4 linked regions of the Elephas maximus indicus genome follow. The protein of the gene in region 1 interacts with the protein of each later gene in a biochemical or structural test. Links are inferred from orthologs where the notes say so. Each region holds a gene or a part of one and is shown in the gene's direction. Other genes may lie near its edges.

Region 1 (7,738 bases):
GTCAGAACTGATTCAACAGCACCTAACAACAACGAAATGATTAATAAATTCTGAAGTATTTGTAGTAACCCTTGTTCAAAGAATAAATTAGAAAATACTTTTAACTGCATGAAAATGAAAACACAACATATCAGAATTTATGAGATGCAGCAAAAGTAGCATTTAGAGGGAAATTTGTAACTTTAAGTGCTTATGTTAGAAAAAAAGGAAAAATGTAAAATCAGTGATCCAAGTTCCTATTTTAAGAAGCTAGAAAAAGAACAAATTAGTTCCTAAAACATCTTGCAATGTGGATGAGCCTGGAGGACATTATGCTCAGCCAACTAAGTCAATCACAAAAGGACAAATATTGTATGATCTTACTTTTATGAAATGACAAGTATAGGTACATATACAGAGACCAATGTTCATTGGTACAATGTTCATTGGTAGTTACAAAGGGTAGGGGATGCTGAAGAGGGGGAATCACTCTCTAGATAGCAGTCAGTTTTTCTTTATTGTGATGGGAAAGACAGTACTGAATGCGGGTGAAGTATACAGATTGACTAATGTAACTGATACTATTATACACAAGAAAAAGGATATATTGGTAAATGTTATACATAATTTTGCAACAACAACAACCAAATATATATATAGACAAATAAAGGCTACAAATGTAGATACTTCATAGACGTAACCAATTACCTCACAGGATTAGTTTTCTTGGTTTGAAGACTTAGGGTCATAGTCTTGCAAGACAATTTGGTCAATTACCATAATATAGTTCATAAAGTTTATGTTCTACATCCTAGTTTGGTGAGTAGTGTCTGGGGTCTTAAAAGCTTATGAGCAGCCATCTAACATACAATTATTGCTCTCTATTCATGTGGAGCAAAAGAAAAAGAAGGAAACACAAGAATCAGAGAAGGAGCCAGTCCTACAGGACTAATTTGTCTTCCCTGAACCATGGCCTTTTCTACTTTGAGACCAGAAGAACTAGATGGGACCTGGCTACCACTACCAAATGTTCTGATCACAATAGATGGATCCTGATAGAAAGGGAGGAAACTGTGGAACAGAACTTCAAAATTCTCAAAAAATCTAGACTTACTGGACTCATTGAGACTGGAGGAATCCTTGAGGCTACTGCCCTAAGATACTCTTAGACCTTGAACCAAAACTATTCCCTGGAGTCACCTTTTAACGAAATAGCGGGTTAGCTCAAAAAGTAAACAAAGTCTCCCTTGCATACTGTGCTCTTTTAAAAATTATCTATATGAGACCAAAAGGTCAACAGTTACTCTGAGAAGGTTGGGAAGCAGTGAGACTAAGTTAACGGGAATGGAACAACTAGAATGCAAATAATGAGAATGTTGACACAACTGAAGAAGAATGTAGCCAATATCACTGAACAATATGTGTAGAAATTGTTGAGTGGAAGCATGTTTTGCTGTGTATACTTTCACCAAAAATACAATAAAATATTTAAAAAGAACAAATTAAACCCAAAGTAAGTGTAAGAAAATAATAAAAATAAGAGCAATAATCAATTCAATAGAAAATGGACAAATAGAGAAAATAATAAGTTAAAGTTTGGCTCTTTGAAAAAATTATTAAAACTGATAAATCCCTAGCAAGATTTATCAAGAAAAAATATAGAGAAAACATAAATTACACACCATCAGGAATACAAAAAAGGACATCATTACAGATGTTACTGATAGGAAAAGGAAAAAAAACAAGAGGATATTATGAGTAATGTTATTCTAATAGAGAACAAATAAAATGGACAAATTCCTTGAAAAACACCAATTCTCGATTGACATGAGAAAAAAAAGAAAATCTAAACAGCCTCACACCCATTAAATAAATTAAGTTTGTTATTAAAATCTTTCCCAAAGAAAACTCCAGGGCCAGGTGGCTTTATTGGTGAATTTTACCAATCATTTACTTAAGGAAGAAAAAATAGCAACCCTACACAAACTGTTTCAGAACATAAAGAAGGACAGAACCCTTCCAAATTCATTTTATGAGGCCAACATAACCCTGATACCAAAACTTGATAAAGATATTACAGGAAAATTATAGACCAGTATCCCTCGTGAATATAGGTGAAAAAATCTCTATACTCTTAGACCCAGCAATTTCACTTCCTAAAGTAGCACTTAAAACTGTACAAAGATTTAGCTACAGAATATTCATCACAACATCATTTTTAGTAGCAAAAAGTGGAAACAAATTAAATGTCAAAAAATGTGACTAGTTAAATTACGGTACATTTACGACAGAATACATTGTTGTTATTGGTTGCACTTGAGTCAATTCTGACTCATGGCAACCCCATAGCCATTAAAATATGGTAAAAAATGTTTATTGACATGGGAAAATTCATGATATATCATCTATTTTAAAAACAGATTGCAAAATAGTATTATGGTACAATCCCACTTTTCAAAAAAAAACGTATTTTTATACATGTTATGGATTCTATTGTGTCCCCCTAAAGCATGTGTTGGAATCCTAACCTTTATACCTGTGGATGTAATCCTATTTGGGAATAGGGTTTTCTTTGTTTATGGGCCATATCAGTGTAGGGTGTGTCCTAAACATAACCAGCTCTGAGCTATAAGGAACAACACAGACACAAGGACAAGCAAACACAATTGGGGAAAGATGGACGCCAGGGTGAAGTGAAGATTGAGAAGGAATGGAGGAATGCCTGGGCTAAAGAAACCGAGACAAGGCTCTCCCCCCAGAGCCCAGAGTGAGAGCATTCCCCTCTAGCCGGCGCCCTGAATTCAGACTTCCAGTTTCCTAAACTGTGAGAAAATAAATTTCTGTTCTTTAAAGCAACCCACTTGTGGTATTTTTCTTATAGCAGCACTAGGAAACCAAGACAATACATAAGGAAAAAAGACTGAAGGACATATACCAATATGGCAAAAGTGGTTAATATTTTAACAGTGAGTGTATGGGTGATTTTTATATTCTTCCTTTTGCTCATCTGTATTTCTTGCAACAAATATATATTACTTTTCTAATACAAGAAAAGTTAGCATTGAAAATAATTTAAATATGACCACTGGGCACCACATTTCTCAGGTATAAAAGATCTGGGGCTGTGGAATGTCTCACTTCGCCCCCAAACTCGAGCGACTAAACTCGTCTACCCGGGACGACTGGATACAGATTTTCCCTTCTTTCACTCATTGGGTCCACGGTGGCCTTGCCCTAGCTGTCCAAGCTTTTCTACTCAGCAGGTGAGGCAGTGTGAGCTTTGCCACTGACATACTGTGTGATTTTTGGCAAGGTCCTTCGCTAAGCTGGGATCCGGTTTTCTCCTCTCTAAATTCAGGTATTAGAATCAATGAAGGAGCTTCAAGGTCTTTTCCAGATGTGGAGGAAAGAACATAGACTTAGAATCAGGAAACTCCGGTGCGGATTTGAGAATATGGGCATCACAGGAAATTACTGTATTCCTTACCATCCTCCCATGTCTTCAGCCAGATGAGCACCTCTCAGGCGCGACCTGGCTTGTTTCTAACTCTGGTTCTTGTGTAGAGCTAGGCACAGAGTAGGAGGGGCTGAGTGAATTAGCTTTTTGGCTCCACCTCGTAAAAAGCAACTCCACAATCGATTTTCTAGGCTTGTTTATCAGTGGGCACTTTTGATGGACATCTGAAGCACAAGGTTGGTTTTAACTACTGGAGCACACACACGGTGCATGTTTTTTGAGGTAATTTGTATAGTGTTTGTTTATACAATTCAACACGCAGGCCAGCTCTGGGTACCTTTCCTATGGCTGACATGCCAGTGCCTGAGGAGAGAGCAACATTCAAGCCCTCTCCAGCTGGGGCCTTGGTCGGAATGGCCAATCCCTGCGCTGCCCATGGCATGCACAAGGAACCTCATCCCCGGCAGAAGCCCAGGCGGGTACCACTCGGCTTCCGTATAGGGATCTGAAGAGATCCTCCGCTGAGGAGTTATGTGACCTTGGACAAGTCTCTTCCTCTACCAGGAATATTGCAATGGGCCTAAATGCCTTCTCCCGGAACTACTACGAGGACGGTCAAGCGATCTGGAAAAATTCGCCTTTAAAAGTTTATTGAACCTCGATGACACGCGGGCGGGCAACCAGACACAAGAGACTCGAGGGTCGCGACGCGGGAGTAACCAGCATCCACGCCTCAACTATCGCGAGATCCCCTCCCTGCGCTTCGTGGCGTCATCCTCTCGACGGCCGTGGCGGCGTCGGCGACGGCGCGCAAGATTCTTACAAGGGCGACCCGTATCCCTCCGCCGTCGGCGCGGCCCGGCCCTCTCTGCCCTGGTCCTCCAATCCCTGAGCCTCCCGATCTATCCCTTGGCCTGGGCCCACCCCGTGCTCTGGCGGCCCCACCCCGGCGGCGCCGCCCGCCTGCCCGCGCGTCCCTCCGTCCACCTGCAGCAGGCAGGAAGGCAGGCGTTCTCTCCGGTTGTCCGGCAGAGAGGCGCCTGCCAAACCCGAGGCTTGGGCTCTTGCTCTCCGGCGGAGGGATCCGTGGCGGCTGAGAGGCGGCGCTGAGCCTAAGAGGAAGAGGCAGCTGCGGCGGCGGCGGCGGCTCGAGCGGCAGCGCATAAAGGAGCCGCCGCCGGGTGATGCGGTGACCGCTGCGGCAGGCTCAGGAGCCGAGTGGGCCTCGGCCCTCAGCCCGTGCGGCCGGGCCCGCGCTGCCGAACTCCCGGTCTTCTGCGGCCGACCCGCGATCGCCTAGGCGGCCTCGCATCCCCTCGCCCCTTCCCCGTCCCCGTCCCCGCCCCCGTCCCCGCCCCGGGGGCCGCCGCCACCCGCCTCCCACGATGGCTCTGAAGAGAATCCACAAGGTGAGCGACCGGAGCTCGGCTGTGGCGACGGGCCGCTGGTCAGGCTGGCTGAGCAGGCTGCGGCCTGCACTTCCAGCCGTCTTCTCCGCCGGCTCACGGCCTCTTCGGCCCTGGCTGCTGGGGATGGCCCTGCCGGGCGGCCTTCACACCCTACTCCCAGTGATGGCGCCTGAGGAGGCCCCGGCGCGCAGCCCGCGTTTAGGCCGGAGATGCGCTCTCCCTCTCAGCATTCCTCATCGGTCGCCGTTCCAGGCCCCGCGTGGCATGGAGCTCCAGGGCCTCTCGGCCTGGGGCTGCTGGGCTTGAGAGCCATTGTCCGTCCAGGCCGAGGTGGGGGGCTGGGGCGTTGGGCGGTCCCATCGACAGAGATCGGAAGGGCTCCTCACCCCATCTCTGCCCCCCGTACCTGCCCTAGCTCCCTTCACAAAACCGCCTGAGCTCGGGGCCCATATCTCGGAGAGATGGGAGGAATCAGTTTAGCCCTGTCCGCAAGCGTGTTTTCAGTTCACTACCTCTTGGGCGGCTTCAGACTTAGGTCTACACTGCTCGTCGACAAATTGTTAGAGTAGGAAGTTCAGAAGGGAAAAAATGTGTCTCTTCTAAGGGAGGAAGAGTAGCGGGAAAGGGTTTTATTACATTGGGGTTGCCATATGTAGTCAGAAACTAGCACTTAAGTTTTTCAAGAATGGATCTAATAGAAAAGCTACTAAATTGGCAAGAGTAGAGGTAAAAACCTGAACATTGAAGACTATTGGAGAAATTACACAAAGGTTCTTATCACACAGTCCTTTCACCAGATGGGCTTTAATGCTTAAATTAGGAGATATGTTTAGAGAGAACTTTTTAATTTAGAAGGGGTTTTGCTAAGTTTTCTAGTAGAATTTCTTTGCTTTTTTTAAAAAGTTGAGGGTTATTCATTCAGTTACTGTTAAGGAGGTTTTCCCAATACTACCATCTAGAGTGGGGGTTAGGTTAAAATTTCGTTTTTTCTTTCCCCTCTAATATTGTAACCTTTTAGTGCCAGACACTATTGTTTTTTTTCCTTAGCAGTGGGGAGGCACCCCTGGCGTGTTTTTTTTTGTGTGTGTGTGATTCACATGGCTATTCAGAAAGGCAGTATTGAACCTTTAGCTACTTGGTAAGAAATAGATACTGAGATTATTCATCTTGAACCATGGGATATGGATGCCAGAGGAAGAGAACTTTGCCTTAAACCGTCAAGATGTAGATAGTTGGATGTGTTAAACACCTCAACCCTTGTTTAATTCCTGATCAGAGACCTTGAATGTAATGTGGAATTAATCTCAGTTGTTACTGTAAATTAGGTTAGATCCTTACCAAATTCTTTTGACTTCTTTGATTTCTAACAAATGAAAAAGGGCAGTCTTCAGACAGAGTAAATCTTGTGCTAAAATGAGGCAGGGTGTTTGTTAAAAGAAGTTTGAATCTTAAGCAGATGTCTGAAAGAATCATTTAAGGGACAGGAGCACACTGAGGAATGGCTGTCAAAGTGAAATACGTATTTTGAAGGCTTTAGGAGTTAGTATCTTACAGAGTCTAACCGGGAAGTTATCAGTTTGAGATGGCACTTGGTTTATACCTGTAGAAGATTGTGCTCTTTTACAACCTGAAGAGGAGAGAGTGAATAAAATGTATGATAATTTATGGATCAAGAAATCTAGCTGTTAATCTCTACAGTGACTGATATGTGTTATTGAGGTTATTGGTGTATATTTTTCCGAGAGGGAAATAACACTTTGACTCAAAACATATATTTTAATCTTCTAATAAAACTTGTGCCCAATAATATGGCTTGTTATTAATTACTTCATATTTTCCAGAATAGATCTTCTCTAAAACATACCCTTATAAAATTTTTAATGAGGAAAATCAAGTTTAGATGATAACTTGAACTTTTAAAATGCAATATTAAATCCCCCCCCCATTGTATAATTAAAGTATGGCTTGATTTCTGAGGCTGCCAGTGATTAGAAAAAAAAGTTTATTTTTGGTATACCAGTCAATAAGATTATGAAAACAAAAGAAATTCCCCCCCCCCAAACTTTTTGTATGGCACCAATTTTAAATCGAATGGCTTACTTATTAGGTATGGATAAGATCAGGTCTATCTTATTCTCAGCCCCAGTAATTTATCTACACTGGAATTCCCAAAAGCCTTTCTTGGCTTAAATAATTAATCTTGGCCTTGAACCTTCTTAATTATCATTCTCTAAATAAATGTTTCTATTTAAATACACTCCCAACTTTAGATATCATGAAGTGCTGCGTCTGGGTTCTAATAAAATTTTATTGAGAAAAACACACTTCACATTCTGGCATCTTTAGGAATTCATTATATTGTTTCTTTGACAGAGGAAAATAGTGTTCTATGAATTTGGCAGTCCTTTAAATGCCGTGTCTTTTTTGGAAAAAGCTTTTGGTGGACTTTATTTTGAAATGCTTTTTAAAATCTCCTGACCTATGAATGTATCAAAAGGGGGTCATTGTGAACACCCAGTGTAGTTCTGGGCAGGATTGGGGATATCCTCTGGAATTATTTGTATTTTTTATACCAAAATACCAATGGCCCAGCCTGCGGAGCTTTGAGGTTTTCTGCCGCATTTGTAGGTTTTCAGCTTTGATTCTGAGTGCCTGCTTCTAGCAGCACCACCCCCAGCAGTTTTCCAGTTGGCTGCATCTAGTCTGTTGTGGGTTGGGAAACCAGATCACCGAGTTTATTAAAATTATGTTTAAAATAAGATCTTGTGTGCTCTGAGTGAAGAGGCTTCAAGTGTTCTGTGAACTGTGTTACTAATCAGAGGCCTTTTTGACTTGCTTCCTGTTTTACTTTTTTTTACACAGGTGCAGGAGGCTCTTCGGTGCTCTTAGAGTG
Region 2 (7,231 bases), on another chromosome or scaffold:
AGCTCTCTGAGGCTAGAGGGCCTTGCCATGCCCACTAACCTTTCTCAGCTGCACCTCTGCTGCCCTCCAGTGGTCATTTCAGTGCATGCAAGACTTGCTCAGAAAGCTACACAGGCCTGCCTTCACTCACTCATTCCCATCCTCACCATGGGCACAGGTGCCAGGCCTGCCTCCTGAAGTCCAGCCTTCACCCTCTTGGCCACATCACGGATATAGGGTAGTGCAAACTTGGTGAAGAGCTGTGGGCCAAGGTGCCCAGCGTGGGACTCAAAAAGCTGTAATGCCTGCAGTTGGGGGTTTTGGGGGTGAGAAGAAATACGCAACATACAAAGAGGAAGTAACCCTGGACTCTCACACAAAATGTGGCTCAGTTTTCCCCACATGACCTCAACCTCTGATACGGCTTGAACCTATAAGCCTAGGTCTAATCAAAAAGTTTTGACTTCTCCTGCAGATCCCAGCACTAGCTTTGGTCTTCAAACACAGAGAGCATCAAGCCCCTCTTGCCAGTGTCAGGGAGGGCTTAGCTGCTCCAGCCAGATCATTGGAGGCCAAAACCCCACATGTCTGGCACTGAGATCTCTACCCGCTTAGTCCTTATAGATTAAATCCCAGCCTACTTGTCTCCCCCTCAGGACTCACCTGGGCACCAGCAGCCACTTGTCCCACCAGATATGGTACCAGAGTATCAGTGAGTATGCGAAGCAGCTGGTGACTAGCTTGAGGTCTCTGATACAGCCAGCGCTTGGCCTTAGCCATAGTGCTTGAGCTGCCACCCTCAATCATGTACGTCATCAGGGTCCACTGCAAAAGGATGGAAAGAGGATGTCACAGGAAGACTGACACTTTTCTTCTTCCCTTATCTACACCAGACCTGCCAGAGTGATTTCCCCATGCCTGAGCCTCTGTACTGTCCCACATTACCGGGGCGCCAGCAAAGCCAATCAGTGGCACACGCCCGTCCAGCCGCTGTCGGGTAAGGGTGATGGCCTGGAAAACATAGGCCAGCTCAGAGGCTGCTGCTGCTGGATCTCGTAGGTGCTCCAGGTCCTGTTCTTCCCTTAATGGCTCTGAGAAGCTGGGTCCTTTACCAGGCACCATGGTCACCTCCATGCCCAGTGCCTGGAGGGGGAGAAAACTTTTGGGTTCTCAACCTGGAATTCCAGGAGGAAAGGTTCTTTCCAGCCTATGCCAGGAAGAGAGAAGTCAGGCCCAAACTCCGTATCTTTCAGCCTTTGTTTTCCTCCTCTCTTCGGTGAGGATATGTGCTTATCTTGAACCCTGACAAGACTGATAGAAGGACTTCCAAGGGACCTTTCCCCCCTTTTTTTTTACCCATTCCAGAATCAGGTTTGGGCTGGTACCTGGGGTACAACAAGGATGTCAGAGAAGATGATGGCAGCATCCAGAGCGAAGCGACGTAGTGGCTGTAGGGAATAGGAGACAGGTTGCTAGGTGGCAAGCTGAGGAAAGAAATCCCTCCCTCCTTTGTGGACCCCTCACCTGCAGAGTCAGTTCACAGCAGGTCTCAGGGGAACGACAGGTGCTGAAAAAGTCCTGGGTAGCCCGGGTTTCTCTAAACTCTGCAGGCAGGAGAGAGAAGGCTGGACTCGGCCTTGAGGACCTCCATAGGCCTCCCGCTCCTCAGAAACTTTTCACTCTGCAGTTTTTTACATAGATTCCCGGGCCCTGACCCTGACCTGGTAAGTAGCGGCCTGCCTGCCGCATGCACCAAACAGGAGTGTAGTCTGTGTCTTCCCCCCAGGCTGCTCGCAGGAACGTGTCATTCTTCAGCTCCGGAAAACCCTGGGGTCTGGAAAACCCTGGGGTCTGGAATACGGGTGCAGGGAGTAGGGTAGGCGTGGACGGTAGGCTGGGGGATGGGGAAGGCGGGAGAAGGCGCGGGTTCTTAGGCGAACCGCTATCTGCCTCCTGCAGGCCAGCTACCAAGCTACCAAGCCCGCAGCTCCGCGCCCATTACGTCTCTTCTGCCTATCAGGTAGTTCACAAGACTTCAGAAGGGCCCGTGCTGAGGTCTCTTCCCTATACACAGTCCCAGCTCCCCCAAGCTTAAAACAACTGAAGGGACTGAGGAGGGAGAGGTCGAAAGCCCAGATAGTTTGGGGGTCTTCGGACCTGAGAATCTCAGGGACAGGGGTCCCAGTAGCTGGCTCCGAGGCTGGGAGACCGCCCCCCCGCCTCAGGCTGTTACAGTCAAGGGGGAATTATAGTTGAGGATCCCAAAATAGGGATCCTAGCTGAGGATTAGAAAATCCTGGGGTCATCCCCTAAATGAAGCTCTGGGGGACGCAGCACTGCTAAGCGATTCCTGAGATGAAGGTCTCAGGAATCCATGGTGGGAGGAGCAAGATCCAAGCGACTGGGGTTCGGGTTGGGAGATCACCATGGGTGGGGGGGGGGGGGGTCAAGGGATAGGTTCATAAATTAGGATACTCTAGTCACAAGCCCCGCTGGCCCAACTGGGTGCTGCGGAGAACTCACCCCAACTGTTTCGCTTCCATGGTAAGCCGTCTAAATGTCAGCACAGTACCCACGTTCACTTGACTCTGAGCCCGCCCTCTGCCCAGGCTCCGCCTCTTCCTGGAGTGAGCCAAGGGCGTCGCCATGTTGAAAGTCACATGATCAGACTCCAGTGACAGCTCCCGGGCTGCCTGGGCAGCTGCCGGTAGGACCCCTACCTTTCTTCACCGTAAAGTCTGCCGTAGCGGCGCAGCTGCAAACGCTTAGGGTGGCATGAGCAATTTGTTCTCCTAAAATGGCCTGAAAATCCCAAAGGCTCGGCCCAAGTCTCATTCTCAGTCCCGTTCTCCATGACTCTAACAATCTTATGTCTGGTCCAGCCAGGCATACAGCGGATGATGGAACTAGAGCACTGAAATTATTATTAAAAAAACAAAAAATTATGTATATTCACTACTAAGAGCCAGGCATTATACTAGATGCGGAGATTACAGTGGTGAACAAGACAGTCGCTGCCTTCATAGAGCTAGACTGATGGAAAAATAGAGAAACCACAATCACAATGGTAAATGTTTAAAGAGGGAAGAGCTGGAAGCAACTAATTGGGGGGAAAGTGGGGGAGCGGCCTCCAAGCAGAGGGAAAAGCATATGCAAAGGGAAGATTAGAAAGGGCAAATGTGATTGTTTTTAGGAACTGGGAGATTAATCTGGTGGAGGGTAGAGGAGAGGCTGGAGATGCCAGCAGGGTCCAGGTCATGCTGGGTCACTTTATCCTGAAGAAGTGTGTTGTTAGGTACCATCGAAACGGCAGCATACAAATAGTTTGGAGGGAAGCAACGAGAGGCACTGTTTCCAACTTCCTAGGAGGAAAAAATGGGGAGCTGTCAAAAGTACATGATTTTTTTCTCGATAACTTTAATTATGTGAAAATTACTTCAAAACAAAAATTTCCTTTACCTCCTGTACTTCACCAACAGTTTCTGCCTATCTTTCTCTGCCCCTTCCTTCCCACCATGAAGGCATCCGGGAGAAACTGAATAGAGATTATCAACCCGTTAAACCCATTGCCGTGGAGTCTATTCCGACTCAGAGCGACTCTATAGAACAGAGTAGAACTGCCCTCATAGGGTTTCCAAAGCCGTAATCTTTACGAAGCAGACTGCCACATCTTTCTCCCGCTGAGCTGCTGGTGGAGCAATCGCCGACCTTTCAGGTTAGCAGCTAAGACTTAACCACTGAGCCACCAGTGTTCTGGGAATAGGAGAAGCAACCGGGATAGAGACAGATTGATTCAACACTCCCTAGAGACAGGGATGGAATGGGAGTCATTCTCCCAAACTTTTTAGTCACTCGACGGCAACGGGGTTTTTTTACCCCTAAGATGGGAAGCCAGATGTCTAGCAGCGAATGGTCTAACGTGCGTTTTTAAGATTCCTCTTGTGGTAGTACGATGGCTGGGGAAATAAGATAGGAGGCGGGAGGACCAGAAAAATGACAGTTACCATAATCCGGACTAGAGAGAATTATGGCTTGAACCAGAGTATAGCAGTGGGAATGGAGAGGGGAGGGTTGATCAGGTAAAAATGACTGAACTTGGGTCTGACTGGCTGGGTAGGGGACATGGGGAAAGGCGGGGGTAAGTATTATGGCTGTCAGCTCAGAGTACACAGGGCAATACAAACAAAGTGGGTGTGCATAAGCCAGAATATACGGCCACGGCTGGCCAGAGGCGGGGCCGGACGTGGTGGGAAGCTCGGGCAGCTTTTGCAGCCGCTGCTCTCGGCGTGGGATCGCCCCTGGGCTTCCCTTAGCCTTTTCACCATGGCAGGTCCAAGCCCGGGCGCGACGCTGGAGTCCCCCAGGCAGCTGTTGGGCCGCGTGCGCTTCCTGGCGGAGGCAGCGCGAAACCTCCGCGCGGGGCGGCCACTGCCGGAGGCGCTGGCCTTCGTACCGCGCGAGGTGCTCTACAAGCTTTACAAGGACCCGGCGGGACCGTCGCGCGTGCTACTGCCGGTGTGGGAGGCGGAGGGCCTGGGGCTGCGTGTGGGTGCCGCCGGCCCGGCCCCCAGTACGGGCTCCGGGCCTCTCCGCGCTGCCCGCGACAGCATCGAGCTCCGGCGCGGCGCATGCGTGCGCACCACGGGAGAGGAGCTGTGCAACGGCTACGGACTCTGGGTGAAGCTGACCAAGGTGCAGCCTGGCCTACCTGGGGCCTCGCAAAAGACCCCCGGGGCCAGGGAACCCCCAAGTTATTCCCCTCCCCGCCCCGCCCCGCCCCCATATCGAGCCGACGCTGCGTTCTGTGTCCTTTGCCCTGGGCTGGGCTGGGCGGACCGGTGGGGAGTGTCCTGACGGCTGTCTCCGTCTGGCCCTTTCTGACAGGAGCAACTGGCAGAACACCTGGGCGAATGCGGGCTGGACGAAGGCTGGTTGCTGGTGTGCCGCCCGGCGGAAGGCGGGGCCCGCCTAGTGCCCATCGACACCCCCGACCACCTCCAGCGGCAGCAGCAGCTCTTCGGTGTGGACTACCGGCCAGTGCTCAGGTCCTCCACTTGAAAGGGTGGGACTTGCAGTTAGATAGCCGGCCAAGGAGGAGTTAGAAACAAGTCAGCCACTGGCCTGGGAGGTGGGATAAGAGAGTGGAGACTAGGTTAAAAGCTAGAAGGGGTGCAACCTGAAGGGTTCCCCTGGGGGCGTGGTCTGGAGAAGTTCGGAAGGAGACTTCAGGACCTGATGTAGGGGTCCTGCTGCTTGCTGATGTATCCCCATCCCACACACACCACCCCTCCCCGCCACCCTGTGCCCACAGATGGGAGCAAGTAGTGGACCTGACATACTCACACCGCCTTGGATCGAGGCCTCAGCCGGCAGAGGCTTACACTGAAGCTGTACAAAGGCTGCTGTGAGTGAACTGCACTATGATGGGGAGGTGGGAGCTCCAGGTCTGGGCCCGACCTAATTAGGGGCTTGGGGTTGCTTAGCTATGTGCCCCCAACATGGACCTACGAGTGCGACGAGGACCTGATCCACTTCTTGTATGACCACCTGGGCAAGGAGGATGAGAACCTGGGTAGCGTGAAGCAATATGTGGAGAGCATAGACGTTTCCTCCTACACGGTGGGTGCTGGGACTCCCCCTACCCCAGGCAAGATGTAGCCATATTCCTCAAGGCTAGGTTCAGACCCCCCATCTCTAGGCCAAGGCCAGACCCAAACCCCCACAGGCCAGACCCAGTTTAGGCTCCCATCTTGGAAGCCCTATAGGGACCTCTTAGGCACCTTCCGTGCTACTTGCCCAATTAGTCCAGCTCCACCATGCTTTTTCTCTTTTGCTCCCTGGCCCAAAGCACACATGCCCAGTGCAAAGAGTAGGAGTAACCGCTCACTCCATCTTTCTGTTCTCTCCCCCGACCCTCCAGGAAGAGTTCAATGTGTCCTGCCTGACAGACAGCAATGCAGACACCTATTGGGAGAGTGATGGATCCCAGTGCCAGCACTGGGTACGGCTTACCATGAAGAAGGGCACCATCGTCAAGTGAGTGGTCTCTGGGGCAGAGCAGGATGGGTGAGCCACAAGCATTTGGGTACACAGAGACCCATGTACACACTCTGACTCCTCAGGAGGCTGCTACTCACGGTGGATACCACAGATGACAACTTTATGCCTAAGCGGGTGGTGGTCTATGGGGGTGAAGGGGATAACCTGAAGAAGCTGAGTGACGTGAGCATTGACGAGTGAGTGAGCTGGCCTGGGATTTTGGGCAGGGGGTTGGGAGAGGGTGGTTATCCTAGCAATGGGGCCTGACCCAGCTAAGATTGAGTGGGACCCTGCAATCCCTGAATGTCTGGAGGGGACAGTGTCTGAAGTGACTCACACCCATCTCCTTAGGACCCTGATAGGGGATGTCTGTGTCCTAGAGGACATGACCATCCACCTCCCAATCATCGAGATCCGCATCGTTGAGTGCCGAGGTAGGACTTGGGGCTGTGGGGAAGGAAAAGGGCCAGTATATAGATGGGACAAGCTGGCATTGGGCATGGAAAGGAGATGGGCTTGGAATTAGGGTGAAAGTAATGGCTGAAGTAACTCCAAGATTTGAGGCATAGGGGCCTGAGTCGGGTGGTAAGTGCTTTAAAGGAGATTCCTTGAAGCTATAGCAGTTCACTTGGGAGAGAAACTGAGTGAGAACCCTCAGGGATCCCAACATTATAGCAGTGGGCAGAAGAGCCATCAAGAACGAGTAAATTACAATCCAATGAGTAGAAGGAGATCTCAGAGGTCTCAAGTTGCTAGGAGCTAAAGGTGACAAAAGGCTGAGCAGTAAGGAGCCATTCCCAGGTCTGGGGGCCAAGGAGATAGCAGGTGCACTCTGACCCCTTCTCTCAGACGATGGGATTGACGTGCGTCTTCGAGGGATCAAGATCAAGTCATCTAGGCAGCGGGAACTAGGGTTGAATGCAGACCTGTTCCAGCCAACCAGTCTGGTGCGATACCCGCGCCTGGAAGGCACTGACCCGGAAGTACTGTACCGCAGAGCTGTTCTTCTACAGAGGTGGCTGTGGCCCTAGAACTGCCAGGCCCTCCCCTTTCTCTACCCTGGGCTTTTGCATCTGTGTGGAGGAGGTCCCCAAGGCTTTATACTATAAGTTGTTTCATTTCAAAAGTCAGAGCAGCCCCTATGCCCTGCCTTCTCCCTGTGCCTGTGTACTGGGGAGGGGGGCTTTGTAGCTTACATCCATGCCCAACTCTT
Region 3 (7,813 bases), on another chromosome or scaffold:
CAAGGATTTCGTTTTACTTGGATCCACAATCAACACCTATGGAAGCAGCAGTCAAGAAATCAAAAGACGCATTGCATTGGGCAAATCGGCTGCAAAAGACCTCTTTAAAGTGTTGAAAAGCAAAGATATCACCTTGAAGACTGAGGTGCACTTGACCCAAGCCATGGTGTTTTCAATCGTGTCATATGTGCGTAAAAGCTGGGCAATGAATAAGGAAGAGTAAAGAAGAATTGACGCCTTTGGATTGTGGTATTGGCGAAGAATATTGAATATACCATGCACTGCCAAAAAATGAACAAATCTGTCTTGGAAGAAGTACAACCAGGATGCTCCTTAGAAGCAAGGATGGCGAGACTATGTCTCACATACTTTGGACATGTTGTCAGGAGGGATCAGTCCCTGGAGAAGGACATTACGCTTAGTAGAGGGTCAGTGAAAAAGAGGAAGACCCTCAATGAGATGGATTGACACAGTGGTGCAACAATGGGTTTAGGCATAACAATGATTGTGAGGATGGCGCTGGACTGGGCAGTGTTTCATTCTGTTGTACGTAGGGTCAGTATGAGTCGGAACTGACTCAATGGCATCTAAGAACAACTACATATATATGAAATAAAAAAATGAAAACTATATAAAAGAAAAACAACTATAAAATATCCAATTCTATTACTGAATATATAACCCAAAGAAATTCTCATAAGGGTCCTGTATGAAGGTATTTATGGCACCTTTGGTTTTGGTTGTGGGCAGTTGGAGGCAATCTGAGTGTTCTTAACTACAAGAAGTCCTTAGGCAAAACGTGTTGGATGGAGTACCATACAGCAGTTAGTAACAGACCAGATTATTTTATATGATTATCGTTATATATATATAACATATGTACATATATATGTACCACAACATTTGCTAATTTAACATTTTTCTTGTGTACTATTTAGTGACATCAATTATGTTAATCGTGTTGTGCAATCATCACCAATATTCACTGCCAAATTTTCTATCACCATGAAGAGAAACTCAATGCTTCTTAAACAATTACTCCCCATTTCTCCCTCCCTCCAGCCCCTACCTCTTGCTGTAGAGTCAATTCTGATTCATAGCGGCCCTATAGGACAGAATACAACTGCCCCATAGAGTTTCCAAGGAGCCCCTGGTGGATTCAAACTGTCAACCTTTTGGTTAGCAGCTATAACTCTTAACTACTGTGCCACCAAGGTTTCCCTCCCACCCCTGGTAACCACTAATAAACTTTGATCTGTATATATTTGCCTATTCTAGATATTTCATAAGAGTGAGATCTTACAATATTTCTCTTTTTGTGATTGACTTCCTTCACTCAATATAATGTTTTCAAGGTTGATCCATGATGTGGCATGTATCAGAACTTTGTTGTTGTTGTTAGGTGCCATCAGGTCAGTTCTGATTTATAGTGACCCCATGTACGACAGAACAAAACACTGCCCGGTCCTGTGCCACCCTCACAATCTTTGCTATACGTGAGTCTATTTTCACAGCCACTGTGTCAATCCATCTCTTTGAAGTTCTTCCTCTTTTTTGATGACTCTCCACTTTACCAGGCATGATGCCCTTCTCCAGAGACTGGTCCCTCCCGATAATGTACAAAGCTACACGAGATGAAGTCTTACCATTCTTGTTTCTAAGGAGCATCCTGGCTGTACTTCTTCCAAGACAGATTTGTTTGTTTTTCTGGCAGTCCATGGTATATTCAATATTCTTGCCAACACCATAATTAAAATGCATCAATTCTTCTCCAGTCTTTCTTATACATTTTCTAGCTTTTGCATGCATATGAGGCGATTGAAAATACCATGGCTTGGGTCAGATGCACCTTAGTCTTCAAGGTGACATCTTTGTTCTACAACACTTTGAGGAGGTCCTTTGCAGCAGATTTACCCAGTGCAACGCGTCTTTTGATTTCTTGACTGCTGCTTCTATGGCTGTTGATTGTGGATCCCAGTAAAATGAAATCCTTAACAACTTCAATCTTTTCCTCATTTTTCATGATGTTGCTTATTGGTCCAGTTGTGATGATTTTTGTTTCCTTTATGTTGAGGTGTAATCCATACTGAAGGCTGCAGTCTTTGATCTTCATCAGTAACTGCTTGAAGTCCTCCTCACTTTCAGCCAGGAGGTGTGTCGTTTGCATAAGGCAGGTTGTTAATGTGTCTTTCTCCAATCCTGATTATTTGTTTAGCATACAGATTGAATAGGTATGGTGAAAGGATACAACCCTGATGCACACCTTTCCTGACTTTAAACCACACAATATCCCCTTGTTCTGTTGGAGTGACTGCCTCCTGGTCTATGTGCAGGTTCCTCAAGAGCACAATTAGGTGTTCTGGCATTCCCATTCTTCGCAGTGTCATCCATAATTTGTTATGACCCACACAGTCAAACAGCTTTGTGTAGTCAAAGTCAGCCCTTTATTAGTACTTTAATAGTGAGAGAAATGGTCAAGTGTTCTTTGACCCTCACCCACATCCTGCAACATGCATCCGTGTTTCAGGAAAACCTCAGAGATGTCTCACGTGTTGACAACGTGCTTGTGAACAAGTATGGTTATATGGTATTGGTGGATTAGTTCATTCTCTCCTGCTCCAGTCCTCCCATTTGGTGTTGCTATTTTCACTGCCTTCTTTAGGCAGTTATTTTCATTGGGTTTCACTTTGTATGACAGGTGCTTTGGCCTTTCCACTGGTGATGCACTGGAGTCGTTCAGTTGCTAAGGCTGCACAGTGTTATCCTGCGATGTAGCTGTCTTGCTGCCCTTTTGAGTTTACATACCATTAGAAGTTAATCACTGTCTGACAGTTTTTCATGAAATAGCTCTTTCAGTATTTTCTTATATTCTCCTCCCCTACTCCCCCAAATGTGCCAGCCAAAATAGGAGATAAATACAAGTAGCAGACATTATACTGAGCTTAAAAATGAAATGGGCAATTTGGCTATCTTATTTTTCCTTTGCAGATCTTTGGAACTCAGTTTTTGAAGGACATTAGCAATTGTATATTGGTGATTCTGACTTCCTGCCTTCTGTGGAGGAGAGTGAGGGCCCAGAAAGAAACCAACTTAACCAGGGTCATAGTTCTTTGCTCCTTCCCTTGTGATCCCTCTCTTCAGGAATGGCACCACCATCAGCTGGTTGCCCAAACCAAATATCCAGGAAATCCTGAGTCCTTTGGTCTTAATATGATCTTAATGTCTTCCCAATCCACTTTTCCCCAACCTGCTGCTCATCCTTTAGTTCTTAACTAGTTAAGAGCTCAGGCCACTCAACCAGGTCGGCAGTTCAAATCCACCAGCCACTCCTGGAAACCCTATAGGGCAATTCTACTCTGTTGTATGGGGTTGCTTTGAGTCGGAGTAGACTTGGTGGCAATGGGTTTTAGGAATGTATCAGTGTCCTCTAAGGAGACTGTAAACGCTGTGAAGTCCTGAACTATATCTTTGTCTTCGTCCCCCCACTGTTTAGCATTGCTGATGACTGTTAATGAACCATCATGTTAGTAAGTGGCTGGGTGGGATTTGAAATGTCTGTTTTCAAAGATTCACCTATGCATCTATTTCATAGGGCCCAGCACTGTGCCTTCTCAACTTGTGTGCGTGTGCATGAAAGATGTACTCAGTCCCCAGTTGGTGGCTGCATGTGGGGAAAGGCTGAGGACAGCAGTTTATCGAAATAGTCTACCTAGCTGCACCCCAACCGACATGTCTGTACTTACAGGCAGCCATAGCAATTGCCTGCGTTTATTTTGATCCTCTGCTGCTTTTATATGAGAATCAGAGAAAAATGAGGAAAGGAAGTGGTTTCGGTGATCAACATCACATCCAAGGAGAGGAGAGTGGTCACGGGTTCATCAATCCGCAGAATTCTTCCCTCATAGGAAAACTGTCAGCACAGCTCAAAAGCCTTTCCTCATTTCACAGCCTCGCCCTCTTCTGAGATTAGGCCCAGCTGGGTTGTATGGTTTCCTGTAAGTCTTATAACAAGCGTATTTACAAGTGGGAAAGAAAAACGAAAAACCAGGAAAAGGGGAGACAGGCCGAGCTGGTCCCCGTTCATTATGGGTCTTTAGGACTCAAGGCAGTAGCTCTCTCTCGTTTCTGCCTCTCCGGATGCGCGAGGACTGATTTGTCACTGAAACACGGCCTGTGAAGGGAAGGCAAGAGTTTCTTTCATAAGTAGCTAAAAGGGAAAAACTTTGAGGAAACAGCCAAGAGAGGGAGAGAAGGTTGCGGCCATAGAGTGGGGAGAGAAGCAGGGAGGACGAGGCAGCAAAACCGATGGAAAGGGAGATAGGCAGGCGGGCGGGCGGGCGGGCGTGCCGGCGAGCAGGAGGCACCCGGGAAGGGCCCACGGTAAAGTCGCGGGTGCAAACACCGGCGCCGGAGGCGGCCGCGCAGCGGAGTCCCAGGCAGAGCCCTGGCCTGCGCCGCGCGAGGCCTGGCCCGGGAGGCCCTCGCCGCGCCCCAGGGGCGGGCCGGGGGCGGGGCGGCCCTGGAGCCAGGCTCTCCCCGCGGGCGGCCCGCCCGCGTTCTCCCTGCCTGGGCGAGCGGCCGCAGCCGAGGATGCCCCACGGCGCCGCCCGCCCAGCCCGGCAGCCGCGGCTGAGGAGCCCGCCACCCATTGGCGGCTGCGGCGCGGAGTCCCCGCCCCCTTCGCGTCCCCGCCCCCTCCGCCGCCGCCGCCGCTTCCCGGCTCCGCCTCCTCCCCCTCCGGGAGCCGCCTCCGTCGCCGTCGCTGCCGCCACCGGCCGGGGCCCAGCCAGCGCCCGCCGCGCCGGAGTCGAGTCGCAGCCGGAGCCGCTGCCCGCGGCCCCGCCATGAGCGGAAGCGCTGCCGCCGCGGTCGCCGCCGCCGCCGCCTCAGCAGCTGCCGCCGCCGCGCACTTCCAGCCCCAGTCGTCGTCTCCCAGGCCGGGCCCCGCCGAGCTCGGGCCCCCGCGCCGCCCGCGCCCCCCACCGCCGCCGCCTCGACTCGAGCCCGCCGCTGCCGGCCGCCTCAGCCCTCCGGGACACGGGCCTCTTCGGGCGGCCGCCCAGGGTGGCGGCGCCTGCGGCCGAGCGCCGGGAGCAGGTACGGGGTCCGGGAGCGGGCCAGGCGGGGAGGGGCGTGGGCTGGCCTCCGGGGTGGGGAACCCGCGGGCGTGTGGTCCCGGCGCCCAGCCCCGCGGAGGGGGTGGAGCGTTGTCCAGGTCAGCTTTGTCCGGCCCCGGAGCCCCCGTGAGCCCTGCGTCTCTGCCGCGGCCGGCGGCTCACAAAGCGCTTACCACCCTCTGGGCAGCCCCCTCCCCCAGGGTGGGCAGGGCAGGACTTCTCTAGGTCTCCGCTAGGCGGAGGAGGAAACTGAGGCTTAGAGGGGGAAGTGACTTGCCCAAGGTCACTAGACGGTGAGAGTTGGAGCCTGGCTGAGACCCAGGGCCATCCCAAGCAGAGGAGTCTGGGAGGATGCAGATCCCCCAGGCTCCGAGAACCGAGAGAGATTGATCCGGGAAGAAGGGGAGCTAGGCCCTGCCTGGTCCCAGGCACACCCACCCAAGCCTTTTTGGGATTGCGGGGTGGGAGGGAGGAGCCGGGGGCCGTTTGGGGAGCTTGGTGGTGCCTTGGGGAGCCGAGTTGGAGAGCTGCAGAGGGAGAGACCCCGGAAAGGGGTGTGCTTTCGTGGAGAGGGAGAGCTTGAGTGAGTGGGGCAGAGCTTCGGAAACTTCTTGTCGTGGAGACCGTTTGGTCTCCGCCAGGCCCGCCTTCCCCACCGCCGCGCGGACTAAACCAATTCCTCTGGAATTAATGGGAGAGAGGCCTGCCTGCTTTTGTGGAGAGGCCAGTAATGTGTCCTTTTCACATAATGGCCCGAATTTTGTCCATGCCAAAAGTACACATGGCTCTCCTAAAGGCATTTATGTCACAGAAGCCCGTATGAGGCTTTTCCAGGTGGTCTGGACCTACCACACTTATAGAACCCCCAGAGAAAGAACAGTTTTCCCAGGCGTGAAGGGGAAGGAAGCTAGCTAGGAGGATTGGGGCAAGTCACCCGCCTGCTTGGCATGTAATGCATGGGATTTCCGTTTCTATTTGGGGTGGGTGATTAGGTGGCTTTTTACTGTGGATGCATTTTGGAAGGGGAAGGAGCAGAGGACTTACAGTTCTAGAGCAACGTGTAATAGGCAATGAAGACGGTTGTGTGGGGCTGGAAGATACAAACTGTAGAATGTGGAAAAAGGAGAGGGTATTCAGTCATTGTGGGGGGAGGGAGATGAAAGGAGTGCTGAAGGGAGGGGACAATGTCTAGTCTAGAGAAAAAGATTGGGATGTTTCAGTGAAGGAGGGAGCCAGCCGTTGTGATGCCTTTGAAAGGAGTCTGTTAAAGGTGGATGTGTCTTACAAGTTGAGTAATCTGGATTGGTGTGAAGTCACTTCAATTTGAGTAAGGGCAGTTGTCATACTTTTATAGAAACGTTCTGGCTTTAACACCCCTCCTCTTCATTCTCTCCTGTTTTGAGACTATAGGCCCAAAGTGTCTAGTATTGTCTTGGAAGTAAAGCTTGACAAAAGAGGGAAGGGAAAGACTAATTAGCAAATGCATTAATTAGGGCCCTTTGTCCAAGATAATTCATTGTTTAAATCAGGTGTTTTCTTGCTGCCCTCTTGCACCTCAGCTTTCCAGCTGTGGTGACTGCTGGCCCAATGCTTTGGGAAGATCTGCCCTGTTACAGACAAAATGGGTTAGATTTTTCTAAAAAACTGTAAGAAACATTTCTCTCTTGTGCACACACAACACACATGAAAGAAAATGTACTTGCCAAGGACTTATAATCAAGGAAATGCAAATTGGAACAACAGTGAGATACCATTTCATAACCATCAGATTGACAGAAATTAAATGCTGTGATAACCCCGTGTTAGTAAGGTCATGGGAAAATAAACTTTTATATACCGTTGCTGGGGATGTAAATTGAGACAACGGCTTTGGAGAGTAGCGTAGTGATGTCTAGTTGAAGGTGGGTAAACATATTCATCCTTCCCTCCCTGTTTTTGAGTATATACCCTAAGAAATCTTTGCACACTCATCCAAGAAAATAAGTAGAAGAAAGTTCATTGATGCTTAGATGTCCACCAACAGGGCAATGGATACATAAATTGTAAGATAGTCACACAATTAAATGTTATAGCATTGTGAAAAAATGAACAAACTATGGCTTATAGCTGCAAGCATCAAAATGTATGAATCTCACAAACAAAACATGATATGGGGAGGGGGAAGCAAGTCCCGGGAGAATTCATAAAAAATGTTTCCGTTTGTATAAAGTGTGAAAACGTGCAAAATAGTATTGTTTGTGGCTATATACATGTGCAGTAATAGTATAAAAACATGCATAAAAACAACTAACACCAAATACAGAGTAGTGATTATCTCTGGGAAGAGATGGGGAGAAATGGATTGGACAGGGGTACACTGAGGGCTTCCATCATACCTGTAATAATCTATTACTTAAAAAATCTGAGTCAGATACAGTAATTGCAAGTAAGATTTGCTAATGTCAGGTACAGAGATATTCCTTATGTTATTCTAATTTTTTTTTTAATGTTTTAAATATATCTCACATAAAAAAAAATTTCTTTTTTATAGAGCACAGGGTTTTTGTCTCATAATAATGAAACTACAGCTACAGGCCCCAGCCCAACACAGCCTGGCAGGCACGCAGACTAGTGATCCTTTTCTCACCCTTTCTGACCTGCTAAGCCTAGTTTGCTATGGATGACTTTTTTTTTTTTTAGTTGTGGTGAGAATATAC
Region 4 (7,252 bases), on another chromosome or scaffold:
TGGGTTGGACGACGAGGTTTCTCTGAGAACTACAGGACGTGGAAAAACCTCTGCGAACAGCACAGGTGCCCCTCCCTCCTGGGGCCCTCACCTCCACAGTGTGACAGGGTGAACCAGCAGCTCCAGGCAAAGGCCACCCCCGTTCAATGTCTTCCCACCTATCAAGTAAGAGAGGAAGGATTAGGATTGGCAGGGACAGAAAAAGAGCAGCCAGGCTCCCTGTAGCTCAAAAATGCCCCCCAGGATTACTCTTTGCAGCCCCCGCACCTGCCACCTTTCAGACACTGGGGCCCTGCCCAGGCCAGGCCAAGCCTCCAACAGTGGGACGAATGAGTCAGGTCTAGTTCTACACACAGTTCTATTTTATTATGGCAAAGGTGAGAACACCACCTTCCCCACAACAACAACCAGTAAAGTTTATCCCAAAAATAAATCAGTACAAAACATGGCTGCTTCAGAATTTAAAAAAAAAAAAAAAAGGAAAAAAACCTTTACATGAGTTTTTAAATCCTATTTTAAAACACAAAAGAAACAAATCCACCATTGGCTACCCAGTTCAAGGCCCGCACCCTCCCACCCGCCAGGGAGCACGGGCGAGAGACGTCTGGGTCCTATTCCGTGCACAGATCCATGGGTCTGTTTAGCTGGTGTCCATCTGAAACAGAGAGAAAGGAAACATTCTCATTCAGAGGCTCCTGCTTCCTGCCACTCTCTGGGTTGCCCCAGTCCAGGTCTGTGCCCCAGATGGCTGCCTGCTTCTGGACCCTCACCCCAGGACTTACCCTGGCGTTATAAGCATCCAACTGGGCGTCCAACTCCTCTGCTGAAAGCTGCTGCTTTGAACTCCTGCCAGTTCCTCTGCCTCGTCCCCGGCTGCCCCCACGGGTGCCTCTCCGGGCGCCACCGCCACCGAAAGCTCCAGAGCCACGGTTTCTAGTCATGCCCCCTCTGTTTATACTGGCAGAAAGAAAAGAACTTGTTCACATCCTCATAATCCCTCAAGAACAATGTTCCCACACATCACAGGCCACCTCACCACCTAGCGGCCCCAGACTCACCTCTGTGTAGGTCTCCGTTGTGTGTCAATCTGTGATGTGACCAGCTGGATGTTCATGGGGCGACCTGTGGGAAAGAACACAAGACATCACATTCCAGTCCAGATGCCACCATACCCTGGGGTCCATGCAAAGACTGGAAAGGGTCTCTCTGTGCCTCAAATGCTGCCAACAAGGACACAAGCATGAAAACACTGGTGGAGAAACAAAAACAACCCCACCACACCTCATCCTTCTTTTCCTGTCTAGGCAGGTGGGCTGTCTGGTAACCTGTCTGGGGTTCTGGTGGGTAGAGAGGTGTGGGTGACCTCACAGAAGAAGGACCGGTACCTTTGTCTTTACGACTACAGCCCCGCACTCAGAGGTGTACTATGGCAGTTCTGAGAAGGCTTCACAGAAGTGAATCTTCCGGAAGGAGCTGAAGGAGGGGAGGGATGTAGCTTGCTGGATGGGGGTTCACAAGAGGTTGGTCCCGATGTGTGGGGCAGCATGAGAGGTGGCAGAATGGAAGAGAGAGACAAAGGGGCAAATGCAAAGTGTGCTCAGCCACGGGGAGGGAGCCACATTTCTATATGACAGGTACCAGCCCCAGTGCCACAACGTAGGATCTGGCCCCTCTCATCCTGGTCCAGGCTGATACTCACCGTCCAATGGCACGCCATTGTACTGTTTCATCGCTTTCAGGGCATCCGCCTTCCGCTCAAAGTGCACGTCAGCGGTTCCTAAACTCCGGCCAGACCGGTCATAGTGCACTGCAGCCTTCTTTAAAGTTCCAAATTCAGCAAAGAGTTCCTGGAAATCAGGAAAAACAAATTAACAGAAAAGCTGTGTCCCAAATACAGTTCCTGCAAGTGTGATCTGCTCTGGGGTGTTTCCCTGGGAGACAAACATATGCAAGACAAGGTAGCGGGGATGGGAACTGGGGCGGGGGGGGGAGGGGGCTGGCAGACAGCAACTTCCTACAGCAGGTGGGTCTGAGGGCCCCTGTCGGCGTTGGGAGTGGACATCGATTTCATGAGGCAGGTGAAGGAAGTTGCAAAGTCCACTATGAAGGACACAAAATTAAGTCACGATTATCTCAGACCAAGGAGACGTCCAATCAACAGCAAAGGCCATGATCACAGAGCAAGGGAAGCTGTCCACACAGTGGAGCAGCCTGGAGGGCACTGACGGAGGAGCCCTGACCCCAGCCCTCCCCCAGGCAGGTTCTGGCTCACCTTTCCCTCTCCTCCTACTCAAGCCTGCCGCAAAGGCTGAAGTCAAGCGCTGCCATGGTAACTGCCCTGACCTCAGGCAGGCTGGGAGTTGGAGAGGGAACCCAGAGAGTGGGGCTACTCCGGCCGCAGGCACACAGCGGGAAGTGGAGTTCACCAAAAGCGGTTTCCAGTGGATGCCAGAAACCACCTTAAAAAAAGTGTTGAGACACTGTGAGTGCTCACCAGCCTTGCTCTGTCCTTCCATGGCAAAGTCACACGGCTAGACTCTGGGAAATTGAACCCAGAAAGGCCCAACACCCTGACCTAGACATCTGTAAAACTAAACCCAGAACTTACTCCTTAACCAAAAAACCAATTTAAACATATTTGGGATTCAATTAAAAAAAAAAAAAAAAAAAAGCCACGGGCTTTGACCAAACACGGTTTGAGAATCATGCCACAGATGAGACGTGGCGAGTGCTGACAAGTGAGACCAGGTTTACAAAAAGCTATACAATAGGACAGGACTCAGGCAAACATGACAGGAAAAACACTGAAGGAAGATCCTCCCGCTACACTTCATTCGTTTTAGCAACAAATTTTCTAAATCCCAAATCATCATCATCAAAATCAGCACAAAATTAGAGCAAGCAGCGGGGTCTGTCACTGATACCTGAGACCCATTCACATTTTAACCAATCCTTTCCCTGCTACAAGTTGGAAGCTCTAGCAGGGGCTCATAAGGCTCACAGAGTGCGTTTCAGTGCTCAGAAGTAGCTCCTCAGACTGACACAGTCCTATCTGCAAGCACAGACGGGCCTACTCGTGGAACTGTCAACTTCAACACAATCACTGCTTGACACTATGTTCAAGCTACAAAGTGGCCGCTAACACGGGCACAAGGCGATCCCGTGGTTAGCTGGGAGGGCTCACTTTTCTAAGGTGGGAAGGGAATTCGGGGCCACATTTCAAACTGTGCAACTCTGCTCAACGAGAATCTCACGTTCCTTACCTGAATATCAGCATCCGACACTCCAAAATCCAGATTTGACACCAGCAGTTTCCCACCGGTCTCCACGCCAGCACCGCCCCCAAAGCCGCTGTCGAAAAGGTCGTGTTGCCATTTGTCTGGCAATTGTTTCGGCTGAAGGGGACGAAAAACCCACAAAAACAGAAATAGGCCCGTCAATCGCACTCCAGGCCTCGCTCGCGACTACCACAGACCCTCTCTCCTCCGGGTCTCGGGGGCCCCAGCTCCGGGGGCTGCCGTCGTCCCAGCCGCAGGCCCCATGGTCCCGACGCGGCCACACAACTTCTCAGTTCCTTCAACTAACTTCCCGCCGCCGTCGCACCCAGCGCACCCTCGGCTCCTGGCCGTTACGAGGCCCCGGGGCCCGAATAAGACAAACGACCAGAGAAGGTCTCTGTCTCCGGTATCTGCCCGGGTGGCGCGCCCTCGCCCCCGCCCACACCTCGCGGGCGCCGGCACCCGGGTCCGACCGCTCCTTCGACCCCTCTCCGCCCCCGGGCCCGGCCAAGCCGCGAGCCGCTCCCGCCCGGCTCACTCCCGCCGCGTCCCCGGAGGCTGGCTGTCCGGCTGCCCCCTACTCACCCGGCTGTACGGCGCCGGCCGGTTCCTGCCGCCGCCGGCTGCGCCGCGGGCAATGGCCGCTCGGTTCCTGATGGGCCCGCCGCCTCGGTTCACTCGCGCGGCGCCCTGCGCTCCGCCGCCGCGGCCGCCCTGGGAGCCGGCCCTGCCGCGGCCCCGGCCCCCGCCGCGGCCGCCGCGCTGGCTCCGGTTCAGTTTGATGATGTCGTCCAGAGACATGTCCATTTTGTCGGCCATGGCGGGCGCAGAATCGGCCTCGGCTCGAGCCCGCGCGTCAGCACGCCGTAGCGTCACTTCCTTCGTCGCGCGGGGCCTTCTGGAGCCGCGGCCTCGGAGCGGCTGCTGATTGGCTGCGGGCGGGTGGCTGAGCTCACGGGGCAGGGCGACGCAGGCGCACTGGCGCGCAAAGCTCCGCGGGCGCTGCTCGAGAAGTGGCAGGCAGCGGCCGCGGTCGTTTTTAGACCTTCCCGCGCGGACGCCGGCGCTGCCAACGGACGGGCGGGCGGGGCCGCGCCGATTAGGTCGTAGAAGGTGCGCGGGTTGGACGGCAGCCGTTGGGGGCGGGGCCTGGGCGGGGCGCCCTTTCCCACGCAGCCCCGCCCTTTGCCGGCCTCGGGTCGCGCTGCGGAAGCCTGGGCTTGGGGGGAGGGGGGGCACTGGGGCGGCTGGGCTCGGGTTTGGGGGGCTTCTGAGGCGAATGGGCTCGGGAGGCCGGACTGGAGGGCGGCCGAGGTGGGTTCCCGACGTGGCCGGGGAGCTGAGGCCTGACTTGGCAGCGGGAACGCCGAGCTTCCTTGGGCGGTGACTGGGTCGTTACCTGCATTTCCCACCTCCCCGTCCACCCTTCCTGACGATTCATGTCTGGGCACTTTGTCATCTGGTTCTGTCGTCAGGTACTGGATTCACCTCGGGCTCAGCCCCGAGGCGGGTGGAGGCCCGGAGTAGACGCTTGATTTTTTTTTTGGAGTGGTGGGGGAGGATTTCTGGAGGTGAAAACTCACACCGAACTGGAATTTTGGCCTCCATCTGTAATGCCTAAGCTGGTGGCTCTCATTGTTTGCTAATCGCGTCATTTTAAAGAGTATTGTTTGGCATAGTTTTACAGTTCTCTAGTGGGAACCAGCAGACCCTTTTATGAGCTTCAAGGTATAACTCGAGGTCCGTGAAGGCGTTCTAAATGTGGTTGGCAGAATGGAACGCTGGACAGACTCACGCTGTCCTAAGCAGGATCTGAGGCTCCTCGGGTGCTGAGTCTTCTTCCTTGGAGATGGGTCTCCAGCTTTCTCCTTTGATTCTAAAAGGGATTCCTAGTAGATGTTTCTTGACAGCGGAGTACCACCTCTGTGCACCTTTTCCTGCCCTCTGAGTGGAGCTGCACCCCATTTGCCAAGCCACTCACAGCAGTGCTGACCCTCTTGGATAGGGCAAATATTCCTTCTTTGGTGCCCAAATGTTCCAGCTCTGCATACTAAATTTAACAAGGTAATCCTCTTCCCCCTAGCCTGAAGGCTCCAGGCCATGAAGGTGAAGATCAAGTGCTGGAATGGTGTGGCCACTTGGCTCTGGGTGGCCAATGATGAGAACTGTGGCATCTGCCGGATGGCCTTCAACGGCTGCTGCCCAGACTGTGAGTACACCCCTGCTCTGTCATGAGCTCTGTCTGCTGGCCTTTCCTAGTAAATACCTGCATGCAATCTCTGGGTGTTAATATCCCGTCCCTGAAGAAGAGCTGACATCTAAAAAGCCAGGCAGTTTGGGCCCATGTTTGTATAATCCAACCCACGGTTTTGAAGGAAAAAGCATGCAGCCTTGTGATGTAATCAGACTCAGCTGTAAAACACACAGATCAAAAACAGGTGTTAAAACTTTTTATTTGATCGTTTTCAAACAGACTAGAGTGGTATCAGCACACACATACCCATGTAGCACATGGTGTTGACAGGTAATGGTATTTTACCACTTTTGTTTCACTTTTTTGCTGAAGTATTTTAAGGTAAGTCATAAACATTTTGATCTCTCACGTCACACACTTCAGCCACATCTTGAAACCTGACTCGCCAACTTCTTCTCCAGAGACAGCACTTTGGTCACTTCTGACAACACAGCAGTAATCCCTTAGTGCCGCCCGGTACCTCCTCCTTGTTCAGATCGCTCTAGTTTGTCCCCAGGTGGTTTTGTACGGCTGAGTGGTTTGAACCAGGATTCCACATTACATTAGGATGCGTTTACTCTTAAGTCTCCTTGATCTAGAGCAGTTCCGTCCTTTTGGGGCAGGCAAGAGCCTAGTATCTCACTAGAACTTGATTTCTTCCGGTGAAATTCAAGAGATTGGGTTTCAGTACAAACAAGATTTTATTCCAGGCTTGAGCTCTTCGTCTGCCTGGCCAGAAGGAGATCTCATCACTTGGGATTAACAAATCCTGATCCCATCAGGCTGGAGGGATGGGATTTGATGGGATCGTTGATTGACTGTCCTTAATCAGGCTGTGTTGTTGATTGTTGGGTTCAGTCAATTCTGACTCATGGCAACCCCATGTGACAGAACTGCCCCATAGGGCAACCTAGCAGATCACAAGGCCTTTCTCCCGAGAAACTGCTGGGTGGGTTTGAACTGCCAGCCTTTCAGTTAGCAGGCAGGCAGTTGACTGTTTATGCCACCTGAGTAGCAAATGAGTTTAGTAACGGAATTTCTAGAGGTTTGGTTTGATTTCATCTTTTTAAATCGCCCTTCATAAGGATGCCCCAGATACTGAAAGCCTGCAGGGGCAAGGACTTGCAGTTTCCGGAGCAAGGAAGGTGTTAACTTCTGCAAAGTCCTGGAAAGCAGCTTGAGCGAACGTGTTGTGCCTGTGCCTAGGCTAGCTGGGCATTGGTGTGTCACTGAGTCTGTGTTAGTGGTGGCCCCCCGTCCCTGCGCAGTGGTGGACGTGCACACGGCCTGAGGAACCTGGCCTGTGTGTAATCAGCAGGTCCTAGGACTTGACACCACCACACTTGTGTGATCCACTCAGATTGTGTTAAAATGGGGACTCCTTGCTGTAGAGGATAGCGACTGGGGGTCCCACCTGTGGACTGGCACATTGTTCAGCGACAGTGATCCCGTTTTAATGTGCAGAGTGTTTGACAGCTTGTCTTAATTATCTAGTGCTGCTCTACCAGAAATTGTACAAGTGGATGGCTTTAACAAAGAAATTTATTCTTTCACGGTCTAGGAGGCTAGAAGTCCAAATTCAAGGTGCCAGCTCCAGAGGAAGGCTTTCTGTTTCTGTCAGTTTTGGGGGAAGGTCCTTGTCATCAATCTTTTCCTGCCGAGGAGCTTCTCAGTGCAGGGACCCCAGGTCCAAAGGATACGCTATTCTGGCTTTTGTTCCCTGGTGGTATGAGGTCCCCCA

The links.
Region 2: the proteins of UBE2D2 (region 1) and HECTD3 form a complex in vitro, tested with the Homo sapiens proteins (3 studies listed by BioGRID). The link is inferred for Elephas maximus indicus from reciprocal best matches to the Homo sapiens genes UBE2D2 and HECTD3.
Region 3: the proteins of UBE2D2 (region 1) and RNF38 form a complex in vitro, tested with the Homo sapiens proteins (3 studies listed by BioGRID). The link is inferred for Elephas maximus indicus from reciprocal best matches to the Homo sapiens genes UBE2D2 and RNF38.
Region 4: the proteins of UBE2D2 (region 1) and ANAPC11 form a complex in vitro, tested with the Homo sapiens proteins (11 studies listed by BioGRID). The link is inferred for Elephas maximus indicus from reciprocal best matches to the Homo sapiens genes UBE2D2 and ANAPC11.

What each region holds. Positions count from the first base shown.
Region 1 is NC_064820.1:152,721,962-152,729,699, forward strand, and holds the start of UBE2D2 (ubiquitin-conjugating enzyme E2 D2), read left to right. Parts: upstream 1-4,721; 5' UTR 4,722-4,821; coding exon 4,822-4,845; intron 4,846-7,738.
Region 2 is NC_064821.1:87,411,170-87,418,400, reverse strand, and holds the start of HECTD3 (E3 ubiquitin-protein ligase HECTD3), read left to right. Parts: upstream 1-4,217; 5' UTR 4,218-4,302; coding exon 4,303-4,671; intron 4,672-4,863; coding exon 4,864-5,024; intron 5,025-5,290; coding exon 5,291-5,383; intron 5,384-5,462; coding exon 5,463-5,598; intron 5,599-5,899; coding exon 5,900-6,015; intron 6,016-6,101; coding exon 6,102-6,215; intron 6,216-6,369; coding exon 6,370-6,452; intron 6,453-6,867; coding exon 6,868-7,033; intron 7,034-7,231. Other genes in the region: UROD (uroporphyrinogen decarboxylase), read right to left, coding at 147-284, 643-804, 925-1,122, 1,365-1,427, 1,504-1,583, 1,701-1,873, 2,503-2,522. UniProt on the Homo sapiens protein: E3 ubiquitin ligases accepts ubiquitin from an E2 ubiquitin-conjugating enzyme in the form of a thioester and then directly transfers the ubiquitin to targeted substrates.
Region 3 is NC_064827.1:45,364,340-45,372,152, reverse strand, and holds the start of RNF38 (E3 ubiquitin-protein ligase RNF38), read left to right. Parts: upstream 1-4,798; 5' UTR 4,799-4,844; coding exon 4,845-5,097; intron 5,098-7,813. UniProt on the Homo sapiens protein: Acts as an E3 ubiquitin-protein ligase able to ubiquitinate p53/TP53 which promotes its relocalization to discrete foci associated with PML nuclear bodies. Exhibits preference for UBE2D2 as a E2 enzyme.
Region 4 is NC_064837.1:71,681,222-71,688,473, forward strand, and holds the start of ANAPC11 (anaphase-promoting complex subunit 11), read left to right. Parts: upstream 1-4,251; 5' UTR 4,252-4,391; intron 4,392-5,361; 5' UTR 5,362-5,378; coding exon 5,379-5,487; intron 5,488-7,252. Other genes in the region: ALYREF (THO complex subunit 4), read right to left, coding at 641-655, 783-957, 1,059-1,122, 1,700-1,847, 3,264-3,395, 3,864-4,097. UniProt on the Homo sapiens protein: Together with the cullin protein ANAPC2, constitutes the catalytic component of the anaphase promoting complex/cyclosome (APC/C), a cell cycle-regulated E3 ubiquitin ligase that controls progression through mitosis and the G1 phase of the cell cycle.